Linked DNA regions of Arabidopsis thaliana. The main gene of each other region encodes a partner of the protein of the gene in region 3 in a complex. Each region holds a gene or a part of one and is shown on either strand. Other genes may lie near its edges. The genes, in order: ARPC1A, AT5G65274, ARPC3 and CRK.

The links.
Region 1: ARPC3 (region 3) and ARPC1A share a complex: the UniProt entries of both Arabidopsis thaliana proteins name them as parts of the arp2/3 complex.
Region 2: ARPC3 (region 3) and AT5G65274 share a complex: the UniProt entries of both Arabidopsis thaliana proteins name them as parts of the arp2/3 complex.
Region 4: ARPC3 (region 3) and CRK share a complex: the UniProt entries of both Arabidopsis thaliana proteins name them as parts of the arp2/3 complex.

Annotation. Positions count from the first base shown.
Region 1 is NC_003071.7:13,150,566-13,157,532, reverse strand, and holds ARPC1A (actin-related protein C1A), read right to left. Parts: upstream 4,745-6,967; 5' UTR 4,636-4,744; intron 4,361-4,635; exon of another isoform or gene 4,295-4,360; 5' UTR 4,087-4,294; coding exon 4,017-4,086; intron 3,647-4,016; coding exon 3,558-3,646; intron 3,363-3,557; coding exon 3,286-3,362; intron 3,183-3,285; coding exon 3,088-3,182; intron 2,972-3,087; coding exon 2,902-2,971; intron 2,644-2,901; coding exon 2,574-2,643; intron 2,339-2,573; coding exon 2,265-2,338; coding exon of another isoform or gene 2,246-2,264; intron 2,178-2,245; coding exon 2,135-2,177; intron 2,038-2,134; coding exon of another isoform or gene 2,014-2,037; coding exon 1,932-2,013; intron 1,797-1,931; coding exon 1,708-1,796; intron 1,614-1,707; coding exon 1,528-1,613; intron 1,371-1,527; coding exon 1,307-1,370; intron 1,108-1,306; coding exon 1,007-1,107; intron 885-1,006; coding exon 826-884; intron 732-825; coding exon 664-731; 3' UTR 501-663; downstream 1-500. Other genes in the region: COQ3 (coenzyme Q 3), read left to right, coding at 5-124; TBL43 (TRICHOME BIREFRINGENCE-LIKE 43), read right to left, coding at 5,116-5,419, 5,584-5,742, 5,831-6,006, 6,097-6,274, 6,763-6,967. UniProt on the Arabidopsis thaliana protein: Functions as a component of the Arp2/3 complex which is involved in regulation of actin polymerization and together with an activating nucleation-promoting factor (NPF) mediates the formation of branched actin networks.
Region 2 is NC_003076.8:26,083,564-26,086,772, reverse strand, and holds AT5G65274 (ARP2/3 complex 16 kDa subunit (p16-Arc)), read right to left. Parts: upstream 1,474-3,209; coding exon 1,376-1,473; intron 1,298-1,375; coding exon 1,225-1,297; intron 1,181-1,224; exon of another isoform or gene 1,135-1,180; coding exon 1,034-1,134; exon of another isoform or gene 949-1,033; coding exon 813-948; downstream 1-812. Other genes in the region: GCL1 (GCR2-like 1), read left to right, coding at 62-644; RABA4a (RAB GTPase homolog A4A), read right to left, coding at 2,223-2,670, 3,104-3,209. UniProt on the Arabidopsis thaliana protein: Functions as a component of the Arp2/3 complex which is involved in regulation of actin polymerization and together with an activating nucleation-promoting factor (NPF) mediates the formation of branched actin networks.
Region 3 is NC_003070.9:22,263,817-22,268,512, forward strand, and holds ARPC3 (actin-related protein C3), read right to left. Parts: upstream 2,261-4,696; 5' UTR 2,016-2,260; intron 1,946-2,015; exon of another isoform or gene 1,933-1,945; 5' UTR 1,867-1,932; coding exon 1,864-1,866; intron 1,667-1,863; coding exon 1,558-1,666; intron 1,483-1,557; coding exon 1,213-1,482; coding exon of another isoform or gene 1,181-1,212; intron 1,124-1,180; coding exon 981-1,123; 3' UTR 963-980; intron 841-962; 3' UTR 569-840; downstream 1-568. Other genes in the region: AT1G60420 (DC1 domain-containing protein), read left to right, coding at 1-427; PANK1 (pantothenate kinase 1), read right to left, coding at 2,837-3,062, 3,168-3,280, 3,376-3,507, 3,604-3,697, 3,772-3,866, 3,956-4,075, 4,501-4,617. UniProt on the Arabidopsis thaliana protein: Functions as a component of the Arp2/3 complex which is involved in regulation of actin polymerization and together with an activating nucleation-promoting factor (NPF) mediates the formation of branched actin networks.
Region 4 is NC_003075.7:733,907-737,862, forward strand, and holds CRK (ARP2/3 complex 16 kDa subunit (p16-Arc)), read left to right. Parts: upstream 1-1,746; 5' UTR 1,747-1,869; coding exon 1,870-1,958; intron 1,959-2,040; coding exon 2,041-2,113; intron 2,114-2,183; coding exon 2,184-2,284; intron 2,285-2,408; coding exon 2,409-2,544; 3' UTR 2,545-3,059; downstream 3,060-3,956. Other genes in the region: AT4G01703 (uncharacterized protein), read right to left, coding at 346-459. UniProt on the Arabidopsis thaliana protein: Functions as a component of the Arp2/3 complex which is involved in regulation of actin polymerization and together with an activating nucleation-promoting factor (NPF) mediates the formation of branched actin networks.

The DNA.
Region 1 (6,967 bases), on a different chromosome or scaffold from region 3:
GCAGGTGAAAGAGATAGCTGGATTTGTGTACAACCCAATAACAGGAAGATGGTTATTGTCAGATGATATTAGTGTCAACTATATTGCTTATGGGACGAAAAGGAAGGATCTTGGAGACATATAATCAATCGTTCCAAGTCGTGTTTCTCTGCATATCTGCTTCTGAGTTACAACTCTAGTTCATGCTTTAAAAACTAGGTACTCTGGAAGTTGCTTAGGACGAGGACAGTAGTTGTTTTGCAATAAGTGAGAAACATTCAAAGAATATTTGGTCTTCTGAATCACACTTCTGTCATCTGATAGAAGATTAATGTTTGTCGATATCTCGTTTTGTGGTAAATATGGCATAGTTCGGAGGACCAAAGCTTTTTGCTTCTTCTCAAGAACTTGAAAATTTTGCGAAATTGTTGTGTTTGGTTCAATATGGACTCCTTTCGACACAAAGCTGATATTACTATATATAAAAGGTATTACAAGATGCTAACTAAATGAATCAAATCATGAAGCCAAGAAACTTATTAATACCTGCCCTTACACAAACCAAGAAAATAAGGCCTTTTATTGTGGCAGTTTACAAAGTGAAACAATTACGAAATTGAAAAAGTAGTTTAAACTTAAGTAAAACCTTGCTTGTGAGCCAGAATTGTTTTATTTGTGTGTTTATTAAAACTGATTGCCAAGTTCTTGTTCCATGTTCTCCAGATCCCATATGGCAACTTTGCCATCCAATCCTATAAATAACAAACCGTTATGCGAGTAAATGAAACTGCTGGTTTGTTTTTTGAGAACTGAATCGGCTAATTCCATTTTGTATTAGTGACTGACCTGAAGTGCTGAATCGCATTACTTTAGGACTCCCTGCTTTGCTCAGAGACACAATGGAACTGCAATTTTCAGGTAACCTTCCATGTCAGGTTCTTAATAGACAATCGAAGTAAAAGAGTTAATGAGGCAGGTTTCTGGCAAATGATTTGGTAAAAGAAAAGTTAGCTTAAGAAATAATTACTTTATGCAGTTATCATGAACACCTCCACGTGATTCAGAAGCATCGTTGGCTGTTGTGGACTTTGATTGACTGCCGTAGAATTTTCCAAATGCTTCAGAAAACTGAAAAGATAACATAATGAAAAAAAGGATTAGACAAAACAGTACAAATAATGCAAGTGGAAAGTTCAAAGTAGTAAACCCAAGGAGAAAAAAGGAGCAACTACACTAACCCGAAAGATTACTACTATCTTAGAGGAACACTTCAGGAATAAGCTAAGTTCACTCATATTTTATTCAAGAAAGAAAACATGGTATGTACCTGCGAACTGTAACTGGAATTTGAAGATGCTGCTTTCTTCTCTCCGATGTATCTGATAAAGCTCCTGCAGACCATAAACAAAAACTTGTAAACAAGGCAATCATCGGTGTGTGGATGATTTCAGAAATAACTATCCGGCCTGAGAGCTAAGGAGAATTAATGAATTGAAGTATTTGATTGTCTGGAAATAGCTAAGAAAGAGAAAACTAAGAGTTACACACCATATTCCAGTATCATCTGAGGCAAATACCATCGGGTTGCTGTCATATCCCACGCCTATCACCATTTTCTCAGAAATAAACAGGACCTGAAGATAGCAAGTTCCCGATAATATATCAATTCAGGATATAACACATGAGAACACTTTCTCAAAAGAAAAAAAAGAGTGGATGCTGACCCACATCACGAAGAGGCAAATCTCGAAATGCAACGCTTTGGGCTAAAGGAGAAGGACCAACATCATCAACAAAGTAAATCATGGAGCTATGACCTATAAACAAGATTGCATGAACAAGGGAAGTGAGACGGAGTGTAGTAAAAATTATGCAACCAAGGTGAAGTTCCATTTTTATAATTCCAGTAGAGCTCAATGGACAAACATCTTAAGTTTTAAGGATATTCTGACCTACATAAGCTAAGGTGTTTCCACTTGGAGACCATTTAACACCAAATGCCCAAGAATATGAGAGATCAAGCTGAAGAATTTGCTGTTTCAACAGAAAAAAAGCTCCCTAACATTAGATAAGAGAGTGAGTAGAGGGAACATATATATGGCAGAAGTGGTATACTATTTACTAAAAGAAGGAAAGCCAGCCAAACGAGTCAAACCTCCCCAAATTTCGTTTCCGCTGGTGAGCCTGCTTTTGAATCCCTGTATCAGCCCATTGAAAGACAAATAAGAAACGGCCTCATGTTTGAAAAAATGTTTTAAAAGTAGACGTTCAAGTAATGAGCATACTTTGTGTCAACTCCTTTGATAAATGTTGAAAATACCCGACATTTTCCATCTGTTGATGTCGTTGCCAGAAGAACCTAATGCATAACAGACAATCAGAGAGCACAGCAACATAAAAAAGCATACGAGAAAAAATGATTTAGAAGATTAACTAGTTTGTGGAGATTGATATTCTATTTTTAGGGATCATGTACTCTATACTCAATCTGGTGGCCAACTTATAGAATATTTTTGGTAGAGAATGCTTTTACAGAGAGCCTGCTTATTATTTTAACTACATGAACTACAAGAGGTTCTGTTGATTGCACGTACATTATTAGGATGCCAAGCAACAGATGTGACTGAAGATTCGTGCCTTTTCCGGATTAGCTTACTGACCCACCTGAAAACAGTAAAGCCAAGCAATGTCAGATACTAAAAGTTTACATGAAAGTATCTTTCTAAAATCTCTAAACAATACACAGTTATGCATGCCAAGATAATAAAAAATATGATTGGTGCTAATATCATGCCAGTACATAAGACAAAATAATATCATTACATAGACCAACAACACCATTCGTAGCAAAGAAGTCAGGAAACTTGCCAAAGAAAAAATCAAGGACTAATAATGAGAATTAGGAGCAGAAGAAGAAAATACCAGTTATTCTCTTGCTCATAATAGCAAATACAAACAGTTTTAGCACCACTTCCAACAGCAAACTTGTTCTCTATGGGTATTGAGCAAAAAGATGAGAACATAGATTAGAAGCTGTAGAAATTATAGGAAAATTACACTACATATTACGGAAATTAAGCTTAAGAACCAGAAAAATTAAACATTTACCTTTGGGGCTCCATTGGACACAAAGTGCAGCACGATTTAGTCTAAGAATAACGAGAGTTGGTACCCATTCAGCTCCTTCCAGGCTCCAGACGTACCTTCAAGAAGCATTCTAAACTCAGTTCAACGAACGAAAAAAAGTGAAGGACTAAGATTAACAGGTTTGGAGTTTCTCAAAGTATATCAAAGGTAGCAACTTACGAGTTCCTGTCATGAGAAACAGTGACGATTTTGTTGGACTTTGAGCTCCAATCTATTCCAGAAACAATTTGGTCATGCTGCAACAAGACGAACAATAATCATGAAGTTGTTGTAAGGGAGATTCAAGCTGTCTATACAACACTTATCAGCGACAAGTGATCAGTGAAATGAGAATACATAAATATACGAAAGTAAGGAATTCCCAAGAAGAGAAAGCAAAAGGAATGCAAGTTCAAAAGTTACAGAAAGAGAGGGAGAGAGAAAGGTTTCACCTTTTGGAGGACATGTAACCTCTCCCAGTGGTCTTGAGACAATGATTTATAGATATGAACTTCAGTGTTGTTAGGACAGAGAGCAACCACTACCAAGAAAAACGAAACAAATGTCAAAGCACATAAATGGTTACAGGCTTTAGTACAGACGTTAAATCATTTGTAACAATAGATTTGGTTCATCTGTTTAGAAAAGCGCATCTACTAATGTACAATACTAGATACCAAGTGTTCCTAACAAGAGACACCGACAAACAGACATATAAAACATTGACTCGAAGAAATTTGATTACCAAGATGTATAAGAATAACACAAGTCAATTTAGTTGTATCATCTATCTATCTTCCCAGCCAAACTAACTATAGATAGATCCTCCTCATTTATAATTCTAAAACGGAAAAAACGACGGAAGAGAGAAAGAAGAGAATCACAAAATCAGAGAGGTGTTAGAAACATACTGGAGAGATCAGGACTCCAAGCATGGCAAGTGATTGACTCAGCGAAACGATGAACATCCACCACTGCCATGAGTGATCCTTGTTGTCCCAAATGTGTTGTAATGAAGACAGTCTTTTCTCTCAAATTGACATCCACAGATTCCTAAAACGGAGTCGTACGGTGAATAGATGGACAGATAATTATGATGAAACGCCGATGAGATCCGGAGGTGGACGACGACACAGTCGCAAACGTGAAGTGAAAGAGACAGATGTTTTTTTTTTTTTTTTTTTTTTTACTAAAGCCCCAATTTTTATGACCAGATCAATTTCAGTTTTACTTGGACCTTTATTTTTGGGCAAACCAGCATAATAATAAGGAAAAAATCGAATTATTTTTATTTTTAAATCTATAGTTCTGTAATCTGCATTAGTTTTGTTTTTGTTTTTTCCGATAAAAGGCTTAAGTTCTGCATTAGTTAAATACATTAATGTAGATAAATGGATTCGATCCAATTCATCCATGTAAAAATAGAACTATATCTCACTATGAGTCTATGAGTATAGAGTAACTTATAAAGTAATCTGAAATTTTTAAAAAAATATTGATTAGTAACTTTTTTCTAAAGTAATGTTTTACTATTAGTTTTTTCGTTTTTTTTTTTGTATAAGCTTTTGAATCATTGACCCAAGTCAAGGGGCTTGCACCACTATATTAGATTTTGATTTAGCATAATCCAAAAATAACTTAACCCCAAATCATTGTACAAAGTTATTATATAAGCTACGCTAGTTATCCCCTCTCGTGGAATAAGGTTTACTTCTAGTTTTGGTCTTCCTCTAATCTCTCACTTAGAGATTCAGGACACATATTTAGTCCATTCAATTATAACGAGATCATAAGGTTATATTCTTGCAAATTCTTCTCTTATAAATTGTTCGACCAGTCAAAGAATCTTGTTCTCATTTAAACATTTTGGTTGACAAATGAATTTGAAATTCTAAATAAACATGTTTATGACATAAAATAAATGTGTAAAACAACACAAACATGGTTAGGTCATAAATAAATGTATAAATCATATAATGAATTTAGTTTTGTGTCAAAACCATCAAAATTTTAAGAATGAAACAGCTCAGAATACAAGAGCTGGTTCCAGCTATCCGGGACTCCAGAGAGACACCAATGGCTACAATCCGCCATTCTGTGACCGCCAAAACCGTATACTGAAGGATGTCCATCTTTCCTTAGCTGAGACATCAATGTCACATCCATTAACCGCGCCTGATTCTTCATCGTCTTTATCACTTTCGCCACCACCATCTCGGCTGCGTGCGGCCCAGCCAGGTAACTCGATCCCATAATCGGCTTTGTTTCTCCTATGCAACTGCCTTTGCCACCTTGTTTCGACCATTCCCTTGCCCTGTAACATTATGTACCATTATTGTTAACAATATCAACATGAAATTATTTGGTTCTAACGAAAACTTATAGACTAATCCAACATATATCAATCGTGTTAAGTTTTTATCGTTGATTTAATGTATGTATCGAATAAAAAAGAAGTTATATAGAGGTAGAACTTACCGGCCATGGTCCGGAGAAATACCTTGGAAGAAGACTTTGGTTTTGGAAGGATCAATATTTTGATCAATCCACTTAGCCCAAGTCATCATTGCTTTCTCATATGCCACTAACCGGTCCATGTCTTTAACCGTTACATTCCCGGACATAATTGCGTCCCATCTGCAACCCCAAATGATTACATTAGTTAGATACTAATAAGTCCATAGTCCATAGCAAAATATGTTTGACGACATAAAGATGATTTTACGGTTGTTTTCGGTCTGTGTGAAGCCACCAATGCCAAGAGTTGAAGACCAAAACGTCTGCGGTTTTCCACAACGAACCACTCGAGATTGAGTCAAGCTTCATCACTCGCTTCGGTGGGGCTCCGACTATATCCACAAGAAACGCGTTTCTTGAAAACATAATCGAAGAATTGTAAGCCTGCATTGCATGCATTTAAATACGAACCGAACCAGAATTATTAAACCGGATCAATACCGGAACGAGTTTGATAAAGTTAGAAAACGTTACGGGGAATGAGAAGACGGAGAGGCCAGAAGGGGAACGTGTGGATGTGGAATTGGCTTTTGGTGCGGCGTTGTGGAGCAAACACGTGAGAGATTGCCATTGGTTTAGACTCAGTGAATCTCCTACGAACATCAGTTTCTTCCCTTTCATTATCCTTCCCAGAAAATCTAAGCCGTTGAATCTGCACCATTCATCATTAATCAATTTAACACTTCTATATCATTCATAGGAGAAAATATTCACGTTTAATAATTTACCACAAAATGGTTGGGTACTTCCGTTAATTTGTAACATTTTGTGACTTATTGTCTTTGTAACAGTTTTATTCCAATAAATGATAGTTATGGATTTATGTACCAGCTGCTTCGGTTACTAAATTCTATAACATTCTTACATAGTTACATATGAACTTATATGCGACATAAAAGGGGATTTGAATCCAATAATAAATCCTAATTAAAAACCTATTAATCCCCCTCAAGAAATACTAAAGACGTTTTTGAAAATGAAATTTTCCGATACAATGCTAGTTGATGCCCAAGTCGTCCTGAAGTATAGTGGTACTCATAGCAATTCACCTATGACTAGTTACATGCCTTAAAAGTTAAAACGCACTAGATCTACATATCGAAAAACGTTATAAATACCATAAAGAAAAGATGGAATCACCTGGGGAGATTGCAACCGGAAGGTTGCCATCGATACTTGAGGTACTCGCTGTCAGGGCGACCATTGGACTTGCAGTTAAACTGTCTCTCGATGAAAGGGCAATTCTTGGAATCATAGAGAGGGTAAGATTTGTCATAGACCCAACTTCCTTGATAAATATTACAAAACTTTCTAGGTGGTAGCCCTAATGATGAACCATTCGCAC
Region 2 (3,209 bases), on a different chromosome or scaffold from region 3:
TTGTTAAAAGAGAATCCTGTTTATCTTTAGTAGGAATTGATCTTACTTTTGTGGCTTTTAGGTTTCACGGAACGCGATTTTGGGGTGCTGCGAATGGATTAGCTGGAATCTTGTATGTATTGCTGCATTTTCCACTATCGGAAGAGGATGTTAAAGATGTTCAAGGGACATTGAGGTATATGATGAGTAATAGGTTTCCGAACAGCGGAAACTACCCGTGCAGCGAAGGGAATCCGAGGGATAAGCTAGTCCAATGGGCTCATGGAGCAACCGGCATGGCCATTACTTTGGCTAAAGCATCTCAGGTGTTTCCCAAGGAAAGGGATTTCCGCGAAGCAGCCATTGAAGCAGGAGAAGTAGTGTGGAAGAGTGGCTTGGTGAAGAAGGTAGGTTTAGCTGATGGAGTTGCTGGTAATGCCTACGCTTTCTTATCCCTTTATCGCTTAACCGGAGATGTTGTATATGAAGAGAGAGCAAAAGCGTTTGCGAGTTACTTGTGCCGTGATGCGATAGAGCTCGTGAATATGACAAGCCAAGAAACAGAACATGATTATTCGCTATTCCGGGGACTAGCTGGACCAGTATGCCTCTGGTTCGATCTTGTGTCGCCGGTAGATTCTAAGTTTCCTGGTTATGAGATATAATTTAAAACCAGGTAACCGTAGGTTCTTTTATGACTATCTCTTTGTGAAAGGATCTTAGGTTCTCCGGTTTATTCCACTTTCTATAATCTATTGAAGTAACTTGAGATTTGGGAGAAACATTCATAGAAAACAAGAATAAAAGTAACATGAAAAGATCAGCTTAATGGTTTAAACGGTATTGGTAGTATCACTCAGACAACGGAGAATGCAACCGAGACCAGCTCTCTCTGTTAGTTTCTCGTGAATCATCAAACACTGTTCGCATGTGGGTTCGTCACCAGTCGAAAGACCTCTGTACAAGTACCTGATCCACACCATTTAAGCAAACAAAACACTGCTTCCACATCACGCTAATTAAAAGCTAGCAGAGCAAAAGGCAAGAGACTTACTTCATGAGAATGTCGTAATACTCGGCAGTAAGAGAATTTAACATTCCTTCGATATCCTTTATCGCCATGATAGCTCTGTGCACAACTATCCAATTAGCTGACTGCAATTTCACAGATATTTATCATAAATTACACAATCTTTTTGATCATGAACAAACTACTTATGTGCATGGTAGAGGAAACAGTAGGACCTTGCAACGTTCGTCGAGAGTTTTAGGTGGCGAACCATCAAGAGCCGTTTTAAGAGCTTCGACATGTTTGTAGCTGAATAAAACGAAGTAACAATTATAGCCTAGGTCATCTGAGAAAGTTGGAAGAAAAAAGGAACTTTAGGGTTATTACTGTTTGAGTAAGCTTTCAATCTTCTGCGATTTGGTTTCGATCCTTGCCATTATTTCCTCTGCATTATCAGCTTCAACAAATGCTGCTGCACCAGCCATTGGATCTCTCTCTTTCTCTACACTCTCCAGCAAAATTATCTAAAACCTAATCAATTAATTTCATTTCTTCATTCAAATCGACAACTTGCTGCATAAGAAACATATGATTTGAGTTTACTAACCAAAGGAGGCAATGCAAAACTTGTCATCCCCATAAAAAGCTAAAAAGAGAAGTAACAATCACGACAAAATCAATTCTAATCACGTAAAACAATCCATTGCCGATGGTACGCAGATTTCTCACATCATATCAGATCAGTAATCCTGAACTTTCTGATCAAATCATACAAGATTGAAGAATCAAGCAGGATTCGAAGATTACCTGAAATTAGAGAGAATAAAGCAATCGAGTGGTAAAACGGCCGAGTGAGAATTTATCAGAACTGTGATACCAATTATTAAAATCGGATGCTTCAGTTTTTAATTTTTACTTTTTCACATTGACGTAACAAGAGAAATAGAAAAGTTGTTATTGCTGGTATATATTTGTAATTAACAAAAATGTAACAATAATCTTACAAATGTAGAGAGAATAAAAACATGTTGATCAAATTAATATCCAATTTTTAAGATCAAATTAAGATCGGTTTGTTATACTTGGATTCAACACCCCAAAACCCCACAAAAACTGCTCATTAAGCAACAAATGAATCACACAGCTCTAGATAGGAGAAATATCCCAATCAGAGTCTTTAAAACATCTATATATTGTTGTTATCAAGTAACATTCAAGAATTGAATTGGTTTATCTAAGAGTTACAACACATGTTACTCTTGTTTGGTATCACTTGACCAGGACCTGGAACAATATCAATCTTCTTACCAGCAAGCGACCCGGGATTACCATTCTCTTGATCTTCACTCGCAGCCAGACTTTTCTTGTTCACAATGTTGAAGATCTCAGTCAAAACCGTGGAGAAAGCGCTCTCAACATTGGTTGCGTTAAATGCAGATGTCTCCAAGAAGAACAAACCTTCTTTCTCCGCAAATTCTTTCGCATCTTCTGTCGGTATAGCTCGTTGATCCACAAGATCTGACTTGTTCCCAATAAGGATTATCACAATGTTCTTATCTGCATGAGCACGTAGTTCTTCTAACCATCTTGGGATATGGTCAAAGGTTTGGCGTCTGGTTATGTCATACACCAACATCGCCCCAACCGCTCCTCGGTAATATGCACTTGTTACTGCTCTGTATCTGTTTCAACCAATACCACACATATAGAAAGATATACAATGTAAGCATATGATAAGCATGAAATGTGGTGGTTAGCTTACTCATTAAAGATCAGTGAATGTATAAAGTTGATGAAGCATCACTGGGAAATGTATAACAAAAGTGTCCAAATTTGTACCAATCATAAAATTATAGAAGCTTAATAACATTGGAATAGTAATATACATAATTCTAGTCTATACATAATTTTGAAATCCCAATCCCAAATTCTCAATGATTCTACCATTTTACTTCAGATCCTCCCAATTTCGTATACAGATCAGTAAGCTTTACTAGAATTCGAAATCCTAAGCAGACCTATCATCTTCCAGATCTAGAGAAACAGTAAAATCTTACGAGATCTAAGTTCAAGCAATTGAAGTAGCTAAAAGTTCCGGGAGAGGTCGGAGATTACCGTTCTTGGCCGGCGGTATCCCAGATCTGAGCCTTAACACTCTTGTGATCGATAACAAGCGTCCGAGTCTGAAACTCAACGCCGATGGTGGCCTTAGAATCCAAAC
Region 3 (4,696 bases):
AACCTTTAAGGTTGGTGGGATCCCAATGCTAGCAGCTCTGGGACCAACTGGGCAAACCGTAACAAAAGAAGCAAGGGACCTTGTCGTAGCCCATGGAGCCGATGCTTACCCTTTTACTGAGGAACGTTTGAAGGAGATTGAAGCTAAGTACGATGAGATAGCAAAAGATTGGCCTAAGAAGGTGAAACATGTTCTCCATGAAGAACATGAGCTAGAACTAACTCGTGTTCAGGTTTACACATGCGATAAGTGTGAGGAAGAAGGGACAATATGGTCTTACCATTGCGACGAATGCGACTTTGATCTTCACGCCAAGTGTGCTTTAAACGAGGACACAAAAGAAAACGGCGATGAGGCTGTGAAAGTTGGTGGCGACGAGTCCAAAGATGGTTGGGTTTGTGAAGGAAACGTATGCACCAAGGCCTGATAGGTAGCTTCAGGCACAGTTATGTCACTATGTGTATGCAAAGCTATTTCCTTTCTTTGTATAATTGCTAAGAGTGAGAATGTGTGGTTACAATCTGATATCTGATTAAGACCTTGGAGATAAACTCTGTTAATCTAAAGTAATAATAAAAGAATCTTCTTATTTAACTTTGATCTTGTATCAACAAATTTTATATTCCAACAGGAGTTGTATGAAACAATACATTGGCACACTCTATGTATATATCAAGAGATACAGAGAGAGAGCATTCTGCTCTCAGATGAAATTTTCGTCTTCCTGGTTCCAGTGGCTAACACCTATGCAGAGGAAGCTAAAGGTGGCGATTCTCATGATCTCCAGTGGCTTTGGATTCCCTCATTCGTAATGGGCAGCAAGCAAGGAAGAATAACCAGCTGCTAAATTATGAAAAAATCAGATCAAAAGAAAAACATTTTAAGCTTGAAATGTAGAACTGTTTGAGATGGATCTAAGATCACGTGGGATTTTGGATCCAGTAAACTAAAGTGATACTTACCAGTGATTCTCTGTTTTATCATAGGACGACCACGTTCATGAATTTCCTCTTGGCGAATGCAAGCCACCATTTATTTGGTGTCCCGTTGGCTCTATATGCTACACTCAGTAACCTCCCACTTGTCTCCTCTCGAACCTGCTTAAGATAGTTCCTGAAAAGCTCTGACATTTGAAGCCAAACAGAACACAAGGCTAAGGACCAAGTAACTGAAAGAAAAATCAATAAGAGTTGTTTAGACATGTATATATACCTGCTTCGTCCTGGGACTGCGGAAGCGAAAAGAGACCTGGGAAAGGAAAGCCAGTTTCTCCAGGAACAGGAATATCTTCTAAACCCAAGTTGATAATCGCTTTAGTTCCAACAGCCAATGTTCTACAGCCTTCAAGCCTCTTTAACGCCACATTTATATAAAACGTCAAGTAAATAAGGAGCTTATCAGCAGGACTTTTGATATCAAAGTTTGTGAAGAAGACATTAGCACGAAAGAAGGTGATTGCCTCGTCTACTATATCAGTTTTATCTGCATATAAAACCAACAATTTACAAAAGCTTTCGATCGCACAATTGAAAAAAATCACATGTTTTGATTAATTACCTTGTTCTGAAACAGGTGCAGGACCTTTTATATGACTCTTGAGAGGAAGCAATGGACAACCACATGCCTTTGTTACTCCTTCTTCATCCACAAAACTCGAGTGATAAACCTGATCAGAGCATTTAATCACAAGGATTAAGGAAACAAAATGAGCATCGCAGAGTTAAATACTCCATGGAACCAAATCAAAGTGAAACAAGCTCAATAAATAAAAAAAATCTCATCGAAGATCTAATCTAATTTCATTAGTTACAAAATGAAATGCGATTAATGCTAATTGAAAGATAAGAAAATGGTGATCCGTACCATTTTGTGCCGAATTTGAACAATGAAGCGATATCAGGAAGGAGAAGAATCGAATCGAAGGTAGATCTGCTGCAATTAAGATCTTGGATATATAAGAATCAGAATTTAGGTGAACGATTGATTCTATAGATGAAGAAAGAAAAAGTTTTTACCTAAACGAGATCAGATCAATTTCAACTTCTTTAGCGTCTACGAAAGAGGAAAGACTGCGTAAAGTTCACACGGTGAAGAATCCTTCGTGATGTTGCGGCGGTCGGAGATTGTCTTATTGGGAAGCTTAATCGCCGGCTGAAGAAGAAATTGAAATGGAAAATCGACGAAGTAGGAAAAAGGAATGAAGAACAGAAGAAGAAGAAGACAGAGAGGTATGGATGACACGTGTAAGACTCCATGAATGTGGTACATTGCTTCGTACCGGGAGTAACCAATGTTAAATCCGGCTTAGCTTTGATTTTTGAGTTTCTCGGTTTTTTTATTTGAAATTTGGTTTCTTATCGACCACTGGAATTAGGTACATCAAAAACCAAATAATGATGTGGTTCATTCTTCGGTTCAGTTTCGGGTTACATCAAAGTGGTTTGACCGGATTAAACATTGATCTTCAATCAACAACAACAACAAAATGTCCATATAAGTGTCAAGTTTCTGTTATTTCTGCTGAATGGATAAAAACTTGTTACATAAGCAATATACAAAACTTAGTAAACAAAGGCTAAACAGAAATGCACAAATACTTGCAATGCACCGGACTAAACCGAGATTTAAAGAAGCTCTAGTGAGATTTAATAAGTGTGTTTGATTCTTTGTGTGATATATAGTACAAGTTACATTGGTCATACATGAATATTAATACGTGAATCATCTTACATAAATGTGTCTAACATTCAACAAACTAGTAATGAGCAGCTCTTGACTCAAACAGTTGATTAAACATATTTCTACACTGAATTGATAATAATACAACTGGTGATAACTAAACTAAATTGATGCTACATTCTATGGTCTCGCTTTCGTTTAAATTTGAAGTTACTGGGATGTGCCGAAAGTTATGACCTGAACAGTTGAGAATTGCTCTTTGCACAGTGTGATGATGCGGTTTTAAATCGTTATGGCTCTGGTCATTGTAGCTCGTGAAAGCGCCTAATGCTCCAAGAAACCCTTCATGTCGTAAAAACATTGCCTTTGCCTCACCTCTCGACCTGAAATGAGAAGGAAAAATGAGAAAGTTCGATAAAGATTTTGTGGACATACATGAGTTTAAGATATGGAGGGATTTGATTAAGTAGTTTCGGTTTTGGATTTACCAAAAGTGAACAGCAACGGAGATTGTGTCCATGGTGTACTCAAGCCCACGGATGAAAAATCCACCAAAGAAAATACGCTTAAGACCGAATCTGAGAGCATTCAAATAAGCAATCTGGAGGGAGAGTAGAAAACGTTACAATTCGATCAGAATATCATCAGCTTCAAATTATGTTTTAAAATGGCATTAAAATGTTCAGAGGAACTGACCTGACCGATGTTATTTGATATCATTCTTAGAAGGGACCTTGCCACATCTTCTGGCTGGTAATCTTCAAGTTCTTTACCATCAGAAATCGCTTTCCCAAAGCTGGAAGCGATAGCTGTTGAGGAGAGACCAATCTATCAAAAAAGAATGAACAAAAGGTTATATTAACATATGAATCTAATCTAAAAGTCTTCAGACATGTTTAAGCAAAACCAGGATCAATCAATTACCTTTGAATAATCTGTTCCACCGTAGATATCCCCCACAAGCATGTCAATTACTCTGTTATTTCCATGGTGGCTTAACTCTAGCAGCTCATCAAAACTGAAATTAAGAAATATTAGTTGTTACTCAGGCAAGGAGGAAACTTACATTAATAGACTTAACTAAGAAGTCACCTCTTGCATTTTGTTAAAAGCTTCCCAAGACCTAAAAATGTGCCTCCGCCAAGGCTTGTTCCACTTATCCTCTCATATTTTCCATCTCCATCGACCTATATAAGAACGAGTTTGAGTAAGCAACATCGCTGGTGTAGTAGCAAACAAAAACAGAGAGATCAGAGAAACCAAAACCAGAATGAACCTTGATCATGCTAACGCCAGAACCGATGTTGACTAGTAGATATGGATACAAATCATTATGGTCGATCTCGACAAACTTCTTTTGGCCATCTAAGTAGGTAAAAGCTTCCCTTGGGACAGTCTGCAATCATGCAATAATCTATTGTTAATTTAAAATGGCAGAAATAAGAAGTTTATCAAAAACTATTCTGCCACAGATGCTTTTAATGCAATGAAGAAACTATCGGTTAAAAAACCTCAGGGAGCACAGCTCATTTAATCAAAATTGCAAATGATCACCATCTTCAAATTTATAATGTCCTAAATGTTAATGTAGCTATATTTTCAGTCTTATAGACGTTAGTCTGCAACAACACTCAGGCCAAGATCACTATCAGGGAAACATAATACAACTTCACTCATAAAGAATTAGCAAAAAGTGTTGACAAAGATGAGTGATAGCAACGTGTAGCCTAGACTATTCAGAGTACATATATATCCTCATGTGGGTTATGTTTGAGGAAAAATGAATAGAAGATGATGATAGGATAGAAAAAAAAATCAAACCTTTAGTAGAAAATTAACACCACCAACAAGAGAACACATCTCATCTTCCTTATCGAAAAGAATACCAAGTTTCTCCTTAAAGAGATCAGCAAACTTAAATGCCCCACCACCTGTGGCCTTTGGAATAATATACCATACCATAATCAACTTACAAACAAAAATCCCACTTCAACATTCTTCATTACAAAGCTTTATC
Region 4 (3,956 bases), on a different chromosome or scaffold from region 3:
TCTTTGAAAATTTGAAACATAATTCATTATGAAGTAAATATTAAATAAAACAGAAAGTGTTCCATACTGAATTATAGTTTCATTTTGAATACTATTCTATACAAAAATAAAAACAATAAAAAAAAATTGAGAGAAATATTAGCAATGAAAACAAAACTATCAAAGAATTGTTTTTGAAGTTAAAAAATATAAAATTTCAAAGTTCGAGGTCGGTGGCTAACTAACATGAAAAGCGCCGAGCAACTTGTGATATGTACGAGTTGGACCAAGTCGTGACGACTTTTTTAATAAGCTTAAGATCCAATTATTTCTCAAGAAAAACAGTAAAACGTACGCCAACATATATTAACTACGACGACAAAATTCTTGGCCTTTAAGAAAGACTAGTACACGATCAATCCCAACGATTAAACCAGCAGACGAGTAACCATATGTAGGGTACGAGTTTCTCAACCACATCTCCAACTTTTCAGTAGACGATCTAATTATGTTTAACCACTAGAAGCCGACACCATAAACATCCATCCGAGGTTATCGTCTTTCGAAGAGTTCCTAACGAGCATTCATGAAACATCATTCTCACTTCTCCTCCCACTAAACCGACTTTTTTCGGATGTTATTTCAAATTTGGTTAATTGCTAAATGATTGACCATTAATTCGACCACGTGATTACACAAAGAGACGTTTAGATCCACTACATTGGTGCGATGTGAAGTGATCACCATGCTTTAGTTTACACGTCCACTTTATATAGGTTTGGCAGTTAAAAAAAAGAAGTTTTATACATAGTTCTATCAAGTGGTCTTAGACCGAATCTTGGCAATATATTTGTTATAAGACTACCAATATCATTAATGATTAGAGAAAGTTAATGTTAAGTTTCATCAGATTCTAATTTAAAACCAATGGGTAATGATTGGATTGGTTGTGTTCCATATATACTAGTGTTAGCACTTAGCAGTCATGAGTGTGTTTACTCCATTTATAGTATACTTTCGATGTAGGATCCTAATTAGAATGATAAAGAAACATTCCAAAAGAGTATTATCAAAATGCTCTTCGTCTATCCATACAAATATAATGAGATTTGGGCAGAAACAACCATTTTGTTAACATATTAGGGTCGAGCGCAGAAAAAAATATATTTTGACCTGTGTTAATAAAATAGAATAGGTTGCGATTTTAATTAAGGAGGTTAATAAATTAAAATCGTAAAAATGATACCAAAATGGTAACAAAATCGTAAAGAAAAGTTCATTAGTATAAATATAAAAAATTCGGTCCAACAAATATTACTATTAAAAATTTATAAGAGAGATTTATAATAAAAAAAAAATTGTTATACCAAGAAAGAAAAGGAGATTCTTGTATTGTAACCCGTTTGTGTGTCTTTTTTAGTCTCAGATTTGTTTTAATTTTCTATGACTTAGGATTTGTAAGTCTTTTTTGGATTTCTAGAACCTGATCGAGGAAATTTCAATGAATATAGTGTAATTGGTTTGTTTGGATTTTGTTCCCTTTGTTTACCTTGTTTGGTATTTGGCTTCGGGAGTGTTCTTGTACTCATCGGCTTATGTCTCCGGAAGTGGTTTGTACTTGCCGGCTCTTGTATTTCAACTTGAATCCTATCGATGAAAATCCTATTGACAAAAAATGAAAAAAAAAATGAAGCTTCCATCATCCATCATTCAGTGGCAGCATAAGCATTTAAGACTACGTGCCGTTTAAGGCCAAGACAAACGGCACTCAGTTCCCTTTTGAAATGGTCAAATGGCGATTGAGTTGTTTTCCTCTCTCTCTCTCATTTTTTCAATTAAAGAAGGGAAAGAGGGGAAATCTCTGATCGGAGAGAAAGATCGAATCGAAGAATGGCAGAATTCGTTGAAGCTGATAACGCAGAAGCAATAATCGCGAGGATCGAAACCAAATCGAGGAAGATTGAAAGCCTACTCAAACAGTAATATCAGACCTTGGAGCTAAACCCTAAAGTCTTCTTTTGTTTTTGGTTTAATCCCTTATCGGTGTTTTAATGTGTGCAGGTACAAACATGTAGAAGCTTTGAAAACGGCTCTTGAAGGTTCGCCTCCGAAAACTCGCGATGAACGTTGCAAGGTCTCTCTCTTTCCGAAACCATCTTTTTTTTTTTTTTTGATTTACTGAGCCAAAAAAAACTCAACTGCAGTCGGCTAATTGGATAGTTGTGCACAGAGCTTTAATGGCCATTAAGGATATTGACGGAATGCTCAATGCTCTTGATGTCGAATATTACGACATTCTCATGAAGTAAGTGCAAAGTTGGTTTTTTTTTTTTTTGCTGTAATGCGTTTTGTAATATGTATGAATTGGAAAGCTCTATCCTCAGGCTGTCTGTGCTCTTTGATAGAATGTTTTTGCTTAAAATTCTCAGGTACTTGTACAGAGGACTTTCTACTGGGGACCGACCCACCTGCGATCAGTGCCTGAAGATTCACGAGAAACTCACTGAGAGAGCTGGTCTCGGTTGCATTCTCCGATGTCTTACTGATACCATCAACACCGTTTGATCCATCATTCCCTCTTATGTATTATTACTTGATGCCTTGATGTTTCCAATGTGCATATTCTCCTTGAGGAACCATGTCTCACATTTATCAGTTTTAGACTTGTATTTTCATTACCAAACAGTTGCTTGATAAATGATAACACAAGTCATTCCTAGAGCTCATGTGTAACATAATTCCCGGATCAGCTGAATCATAAATACGAAGACCAAGTTGTGATTAAGTAATTTTAGGGGGGTGTATTGAAACCAGAATCTTTTAGAAGATTTGGTGGAATTTGCATTCTTCTACAGACCAAATCCATTCTCGATTTTGCCGGTGAAGAACAGAGACCGAAAGCTTTTTTCATGGAAGACGAGGGGAGGAGGACAATGAGAATATGTCGCAGAGATTTTCTGTGAATCTTTTTTTAAATCAAATCGTTCAGAATAACACCTACAGGTGAGATTTTTTCATGCTTATTTTCAACTAAATTTTTTTGCCTAAGTCTCCCAGAATCAATGTTAAATGTTTTTAATGAAATTGTTTTGTTGAGTTTAGATAACAGTGGATTTAAGATGTGTTTTATAAATTCTTGAATGAATAACAGAAGATTATAGATTCTTTTGAGTGATTTTATATAAATTCCAATTTCAATAACAAAGGATTTGAGAAAAAAATTACAAATCACAAGTTGAATACAACCATTCCTGATTCACTGAATGTTCATAACTCGAAGGCCCAATATCGAACTCAGCCCATTGAAACTAAATTCATTTCTAAACTTTCAATGTAAATGCACTCGTCATACAAGAGTAAATGTTCACATAGTTAGTCATTGATTTAAACAATTTTACTCTTTAGATTTTTAAAATTTTATAGGATTGTAATAAACCAGGTTGAATTCAAATGTCAAATAGCGTTAAATAAAAGTTTAGATCTTTTTTTTTTTTTTTTTTTTTTTTATCAACGTTAGTACAAGAAGAAACAAGAGCAGCTTTTGCCAAAGCATCAGCTTGATCAACGTTTCCTTATAAAAGACAAAAGCAATTAAGTTTTTACTTTTACAGTCTTTTTGATCAAATTAAATGAGTAATTGAGTAGTAGTAGTAACAAAAGGGAATCCCAGAAATAGTAGTTGCTTTCACATGAAAAAATTTCCAAATACAACAATTTTTATTTATTATTTATAGCATCCGGTAGTTCCAGATGAACTCTTGAAAACCTATTTTCAATAAATCTGATGATCCTCTTTTGATATTTCAAAAATATTAAGATATATAACAATATAAAAAAATTGTCAGCTAATTACAAATTGTTTTCTCTAAAATTCAAAATTACCAATAAAAAAAATGATGTCTTTAGAAAGAAATAGATAAGTGTTTTTGTGATAAACGTTTAAATTATTGTTTATGTACTCAGATGTTTTCGGAGAT